Linked DNA regions of Arabidopsis thaliana. The protein of the gene in region 2 interacts with the protein of the main gene of each other region in a pairwise test. Each region holds a gene or a part of one and is shown on either strand. Other genes may lie near its edges. The genes, in order: CA1 and ABCG23.

Region 1 (3,927 bases), on a different chromosome or scaffold from region 2:
ATATATATTACTCGTATTTCTCCTTCTTGAATTTGATGAAGCCCTGCTTAATGGTTTCGACGGGGTCGAAAGCTTTCTTGTCGGATGAAGTACCTGTCTGAAGAGCCGCTGTGATCTGCTCCACCTTTGCCGCTGCAACCGTCTTTAGCTCTTCCTTCTCGCTGCCATATGTTTATATACATTTATAGTTAAATCACAAAAATTATGAATTAAGTAGTATTGAAAAATCCCGTTACTAATTTATAATAATGTTTTAGCTTTTATTAATCTAATCATGTATTAATGTATGCATGCGAATAGAAAAGATGTATATACTTACATGAGAAGCTTCTTGAGAGCTTCAATAGCCTCGTCGTATGCTTCGGTTCCCATCTCTTCACTCTGCAAGTTGGTTGACCAAATAAAATTAGAAGAAAATGAGTACTAGTATATTTTATTGTCGTGAACGTAATTAAGTAGAGAGCGAGTCATGACGTGTTTTAAATGTTGAAACTACAATCAACCTGTTCAGAACTTCATTATACGATAAAGTACAATTTTATAGTCTTTTATATTATGATTTTATTTTCGCTAGTAGGAACCAAATCGGTAGGTTGAATGAATAAATATAGATGGCGACTTAATCACCACTATGCTCCACACGCTCTCATATGGTACATGTGCATACACACACGTCTCAGTTTCATGAATCGTTTTTGTTGAAGCTACTACTAGCAACTTTTCTTTTATCACGTGGATCCTACGTACGTTCTAACTCTCAAAATTTCAAAAATGTCGGATCTTGGGTAGGAATGAGACAACGCTTTTAATATTTCGAGGTGATTTGTTTTTAACTTCACTAGATGTCGAAGCAAGTAGTTTGAAGATCTGTATAGAATAAGGATTGAAAATGAACTCTTCCCTTGCTTGTGATTCACTAATTAAGCAACTTTAGTTTGATTCTTGTTAATTTGGGTAATTCTTTCAGTACCACGCTAAAGACCAAAAGTCAAACACGGATGATAATAGTAAGGATAATATAAGGAAATACCAAGGGAAAAAAAAACTGAAATGTGAAACACATGTGACAGTTTCCAAGATTTGTGGAAGTTTCGTAAGCTAGTTTCTATAGAAGATTTTTGTTCCTATCACTAAAATGGCAATTGCAGAATCTATATAATAATTTCGTAAAATCTTTACAAATTTTAAAATTCTGTAACTTTAGTTTGCTATCTATGTAATGTACCCCTATTATACGTAAACAGCAATGTAAGTTATGTAAGAAATAATGTAGGTTAAGAAACAGTGATGAATGTAAAAATGTATACCCAATAAGGGGCAATGATAGGAGCAGGAGCGGCAAAAACTGGCTCGTTACGGATAAGCGTTGGAACGGAACGGGAAGACGAGGAGGAGGAAGATGAGGAAGAAGAAGAGGCGGGTGGGAGGCAAGCGACGGTGGAAGAAGTACGAAGAGAGAGTTTCTGGAGAGAAGATTGAGAAGGAGAAAGTGAAGTGAGAAAGAAGCCGGAGAGAGGAGCGGTCGACATTTGTTGGCGAAGAGAAGCGGAGATCAGAGAGAGTGAGATATGTGTATTTATAGTTAGAACTAAGACTCTTATGGAAGCTACTATATACTTAAGTGAATAATGGGATTGGTTGAAAGATTTGGGAGTTTAAAAGAACGGAGTCTCATGGTCATGGTGAGGTTGTGGGAACGAGGATAACGAAAGCGATAGCTGCGGTGAATAACAAACTTTCTTCTTTTCTTGTGGATGAGGAATATTAGCTCAAGATTTCAAAACTTTTACGTGCTCTTTTCTTCTTTCAATTCTTTTTTTTATAAAAAAATAAAAGGTCTCAGAAAGGTTTAGAGGATAAGGTCCCTTATCATGAAAACAAGGATCAGCCTCTTTCACTTACCCTCTCAGGCTCTCATCTTAAATAATCACCACCCACTTTAGATGTTAGGCCATTTGTTTGTGGTATACATATAGAAAGATCCATACTTCTCTAGGCTCTCTCTAGACCAGAGATTGCTATTGTATACACAATCTAGAAGATGCAAAGGATTAACATCGATCATGGACTGTTCTACTCTACGAAACAACAGACTCAGTGAAAACTCTTAGCATGAAAATGAAGAGGAAATAAAAAAAATAGAGAAGAAGGGTCTCTCCTCTCAGACCTTCCATGGCCATAAATCATCATATAGGCAACATTAGATAACAGAGTTTCTATTTTCTTCAACATGTTAGGAGAGAGCGAGAGAGAGAGAGAAAATGAAGAAGAAATACAGAGACCAGTAACGCATTAGGGTTGGTTTTGGGACTTATATGTAAAGTGGGCAACGGCGAAACTATGTCGACATTTTTTCATGCAAACACACAACATAATGTCAACATTCTCTTGTCATAGAGTGCGCGAATGTGGCAATGTTGTTCACAACGATATTAGGGTTAAGTACCTCGAGGAATGGATAGAGACAGAAGAATGGATGTAACATTTTAACTTATGCCAAAACAAAACTTCTACGACTTTGGGCATAGTCTTATTGGACAAACTGAGAATGCGATACACCGAGCTGCTTTCGCCAGCCTAAATCTTTCGCTCTCTGTTAACACTCTCTCGATCACCTTTATGATATTTGCATCCTGCAAAACATTGTACAAGTTGCTTCAGGTTTATGTCTTGAACCAATCAGGCAAATATAACGTGGAACATCTTATTCAAGCTTTTCCTATTGTATGAAGAAGAGACTACTGCATAGTAGGAGTAACCTTTCTTGGTTGTTGAATTGTAGGCCTGACGTTAGCAACATCACCAACTACAATTATATTGTTCGTGTTTCCTCGGTCATCTCTTTCCGTTGGTGAAGTTGCTGAATGCCTCCAATCACCGTTGATTATGTACTTGTAGTAGTATCTGCCACATTGTCAATAATCACCAAGTTATATGACACAAATGCATTTTCATAAGTTTCTTTGCAGTTTGCAATCCCTCAAAAGTCACAATTAACATGCAGGGAAGATTATGAGACGTTTTACTGTTGAACCTTAAAAAAAGCATCAACGGGAAAGGTAAAAGAAGCATGACTTACTTTCCCTGTGTAAGTCTAACTTCAGTTTCAAAACGTGGACCGCCTTTGTGCGTTGCTTTTATCGGTTCTTTCCAATTTCCTGTGAAATCCCCAACCAACAATACCTCCTCCCCCTGTAAACCAAGGTGTAACTTAAAACACAGAGGCTAGTTGCTCAACCCTACAGATCACGAGTTCCATAAAGAATTGCAGCAAAGTAATAAAAGCATGTGAAGCAACAGTCACCTCATGTCCATTCCACACAAAGGTTACAGAGTGTGTTGGAGTCCCATCATGTTTGCCATCGTCCACCATAGCGATAAGATCCCATGTTGCCCAAGCAATTGCAGGTCTGTGAAAAAATACATATAACTTGTCTGATGTTTTCATTAAAACAGAAAAGCTATCCATGGTCTGCAGGTTAATGGTCAAGACAGAGATAAGATGGATAAAAACCTGTCAGGTTTGCAAGCGTGCAATCCAGTAACGAAACTATAAGCAGCATGAAGAGAGGTATCAGTCATCCAGTGCAGATAAGCAATCACACAAGCGGATGACCGGTCAAAACCAGTGGTACAAGTTACAAAGACACGATGGTTCTTTTTCAGTAACCGTAGTAAGAGCCCAACACAAAGTGGTAGCTTCTTCCTAAGATCAAAGGAATCTGCATCCCTGGCACCAAAATATCAAAACTGATTAGAGCGGTAGGAAATGAAAGCATGAACGCACATAATGTGCCTCAAGGCGATATGACTTTGCATACTTTATAGGGTAGTTGATCATTAAGACTTCAGATTTCTGGCATGCATCATTGATACTTTGTGAATCGATCCCCCAGTTTTGAGCTTCAGTTCCACCTTGGAAATTTA
Region 2 (3,927 bases):
GAAGACTGAATACAGTTCTCCCTATACAATGAAATCTTTAATGGGTTGACTTGGAAGCCTTCCTGAGTAGAATACCCCAGCAGAGGATTCGATAAAAAACGAAAAAGGCAAGCATGATCCCGACGTTGATCCATCTCGTATCCTTGTCAAGCCCTCTCTCCTTCAACACATCCTCTCCGGTCATCAAGCAGCCCATGTTCCCACTGGAGAAGCATTCCTCTCGCATGCTCCAGTACTCATTCACCACCATAGACTCCAGCGGGTAACGGTACAAGGACACATAGTACATGAACATCCATGGTTTTGGGATCTTCTCTTTTGGGATAAAGTAGCCGGAGAAGAGGAAGAAGGCTCCAAGAACAGTGCATATGAGGGAGTTACCAGAGATGAAGTCAGGAGAAACAGCGCTGAGGAAAAGCACCAGAGAACTGGCCATGAGAATGATGAGCCAGACGCAGAGGACAAAGAAGGAGAAGGCTTGAATCGATGGGTTTAGGCCTACGATCCAGTAGACTGGGATGGAGAAGAGGAGAGATACAACGAAGAGGAACGGTACAAATGCGATGGTGTTGGCTATCATGTAGGATGAGATTCGGTAGGATCCACGAGATGATTCTTTCATCAGAACGCGACGTTCTCGGAGGTAAATGGGAAGTGCTTCGACTGTTGAAGAGAGGAGGAAGCTTAAGCTGAAGGCAAAGAGTCCAAGCCGCTCTGCAACGCCTTCTTCGTCACGCTTGAGTCTTGTGTAGACGCTACCTAGACCTAATCCAGCTACAACCGCTTGCATTGTTCGCGCCAGGAACAACTGCTTTGTTCTATAGATGATCTTGCAGAATCTTGAGCAGAGGTATGAGATCTCGGTGACGTCTAGGACACGAAACGCTTCTTTCTTAGAGATAATCCCATCGTTTTCGTTGTTTTCAGGCCACATTGATGATGATTCTACGACAGCTACCGAGTTTGGCTTAAAAGTTCTCAAGGACTCAACTATTTCCATGGCGAATTCTATAGGATTCAGCTGTTCTGGAATCTGAAACCCTAGTTTCGCTATCGAGTCCTCGAGATGTTCAAGACTTCCCAAGTGGATAACCGATCCGCGAGAAAGAATCAGGTAATCGGAGATGTAATCGAGGATCCTATAACTTGGTTGGTGGATGGAGAAGAGGACGGTTCTCTGTTTGGATTTCGCCATAGTAGCCAAAAGCTCAACAACCTGAAGCGAGTTTCGACTATCCAAACCAGAGGTTGGTTCGTCAAGAAGCAGAATTGGTGGATCACGAATCATCTCAACGGCTATAGAGACTCTCTTCCTCTCTCCACCCGAAACGCCACGATCCTCTTCGTCTCCTTCTCCCACGAAGCTGTCTTGGACGAGAACAAGACCGAGATCACTCAACAAGCTCTCCACTCTCTCTTCTCTTTCCTTAGCCGTTGAATCTCTCAAACTGAATTTGGCGCTATACATTAACGTCTCTTTCACGGTAAGTAGAGGCAGTAGGTCATCGTCCTGCGGGACAAACCCGCATAGCCTTCGTAGTTGGTTATAGTCAGTGATTTTACGATTGTTCATCAAAACCGCGGAAGACGGATCTAGTGCCTTGTGGTTCACTCTTCCTGAAATGATCTTTAAAAGAGTGGATTTTCCTGTTCCACTCGGTCCAACCACGGCTAGGATTTTAGAGGATTCAGCAGCTAATGAAACGGAATTGAGTATTGGGGTGTGATTGATGGTGTAGGATAGGTTAGTGACGGTTAAAGAGTAGCGGTTAGGGGTTGGGAGTGGTGAAGAAGAAAAGGAAGAGGAAGCAGAGGAGAATTCATCAGGAGAGTTTGATGCTGAGAAAAGAATGATGGAGTCTTCCTCGCGGTGGCTTGTAGCCATAGCAGAAGGGTGGAAGCAGGAAGCCATGGTATGAGTATTGTTGTTCTTCTTCATATCAAAAAGGTCTACTAATGCTTTTTATGTATGAGTAAAACTTTTTTTTCAGAATTGGTCGACCAACAAAAGAAACAAGTGTTTAATGTGGTAGGCAGAGGTTGGTGCAACTCTTCAAAACCTGTGTATCTAATTCTTTTTGGTTGGTCATTAATTGTTTGATTTTGCTGAGTTTATCGTATAAGATAAATTTATCTTACATATATGTAAACGGTATTAGTGGTTGACCAGGAATAAAGAGTATTGGTGTATCAAACAAAAAGGTAACGTGTTAAATTCATTACTAAAATGTACTTTCCAATGGTATCAACATGCTAATTGTATTCCGTCATGAGAAATTCATGATGTCAAAAGAATGAATCTGAAAATAGATTTTGATACAAAATTAATTGCATTTAAGATAGCATTCGTAATAATTTGTATATACCAAAGGGGCATTAAATGATTTTGTTAAAAAAAGAAGCCTATTAAAAAAATACAGTATTATGATGTTAAGAAGCATATCATTTAAATTTGCCCATAGACATCTAAAATGTATAAGCTCGCACTGACACCATACCATTAATGCTGTTTGAATTTCAACATCAAATAATAACATTTATCGAGACAAAGAACGAAACAATGTATGCTTGTGGAATTTACAAAAGAATTTACATATGAAAAACACCCAAACTATGATGAAAACTATTTTCTCTCTTGGTTATAATCCCCAAATAAACCTATGAAACCCGTAGACAGAAACTAAAAAAGAATAGATGAGTGGGAAACTCAGGGTTTTCTGTGTTATCAGGGGTTAGCGAAGAATATTAATGACCCAAGTCTTCACTTCCTACACCCACACTGGATTTATCAACTACTATGCGTACATTGTATTGTTCGTAAACTCTTCCTCTGTTCTCTGCCCACCATTCTTCTGCTTGTTTCTCACTAAACCGCTTCCGGCTGCCATCAAAGACATCCTCGGATTAAGCTCATTTCATAACCAATAAAAAGGAGCATCCAAACATTCCAGCTAAGACTATAAAACAAAAAAAAAGCATTCTGGTACCTGAAACGGACACGTTTGAGATCCCTTGCACCTCCAGCTAAGGCTGTGAGAGTGATGTACACACCAGGTTCATCTTGTTCAACCCATTCATTTTCGTTACGGGGTTCACTTTCTTTTGATCGTGTGCTGATTCTATTTATCGCTTCAGCAGCATGATTAGCTTGCTGTCGGTAACTTCCACTATCGAAAACAGGTGTGCTGGTCCCATTTGAAAACATTGGGACGGTGGTTAGGCTATCAGAATCAGTTTCTCGACTGTTTGGACGGTTTAAGGTGTTAGAAGAAGGGGCAGCGTAATCAGGACTGGAACCAAATGAATTGAGAGACGGAGACTTGACAGTCCGAGCTGATCCAACAGGTAGTCTTTCAGCCATGTCTTTCAACTGCATGTTTTATTGAGAAAATCAGTAAGTTGCATAGAGCATTTTCATTCATTTTAACAGCAGAGAGGAAACTTTGGAATTTACTTGAGCGGTAAGTGATTTGATCACTTCTTTTGCTGCCTTGCATCTCGCTGATTCTTCACTAGCAATTGCTAGTGCCTCCTTTAGCTGTTTGGTTGTTCTTTCCAGTTCAACTTCTTGAAGTTGTGCCTTCCGTGTAAGATTTTCAACCTGTGAAATCATTTACTACTGAGTTCGCAAAAGGAGTCAAATTGCAAAGAATGAAACGATATGTTAATGAAACAAAATAGCACAATCTCACCAGCTATGTTTTTTTCCTAAATACACAGGAGTAAGGAACAAGAATTAAAGCGTGGAAAGCAGCTTACTTGAGATCTTAGCATAACCACCTCTTGGCTTAGGTTATCATTGCTTCTCTTGGTATCATCCACGACAATTTTTGGTGTAGTTAGTCCTGAAAGAGTGGGAGTTGGCGTTGTTGACCGAGGTGGGCTAGGACGTCTTGATATTGGTGAAGTTGCCCGGGACGCAATTCG

What was found.
Region 1: the proteins of ABCG23 (region 2) and CA1 interact in a protein complementation assay, tested with the Arabidopsis thaliana proteins (one large-scale study listed by BioGRID).

The regions. Positions count from the first base shown.
Region 1 is NC_003074.8:196,345-200,271, forward strand, and holds the start of CA1 (carbonic anhydrase 1), read right to left. Parts: upstream 1,817-3,927; 5' UTR 1,530-1,816; coding exon 1,308-1,529; intron 1,221-1,307; exon of another isoform or gene 504-1,220; intron 382-503; coding exon 320-381; intron 162-319; coding exon 12-161; intron 1-11. Other genes in the region: LSF1 (uncharacterized protein), read right to left, coding at 2,511-2,633, 2,760-2,904, 3,080-3,192, 3,305-3,410, 3,515-3,730, 3,822-3,927. UniProt on the Arabidopsis thaliana protein: Reversible hydration of carbon dioxide. Required for photosynthesis in cotyledons. Binds salicylic acid.
Region 2 is NC_003076.8:6,545,200-6,549,126, forward strand, and holds ABCG23 (ABC-2 type transporter family protein), read right to left. Parts: upstream 1,979-3,927; 5' UTR 1,940-1,978; coding exon 38-1,939; 3' UTR 23-37; downstream 1-22. Other genes in the region: AT5G19420 (Regulator of chromosome condensation (RCC1) family with FYVE zinc finger domain-containing protein), read right to left, coding at 2,746-2,881, 2,988-3,370, 3,455-3,601, 3,760-3,927.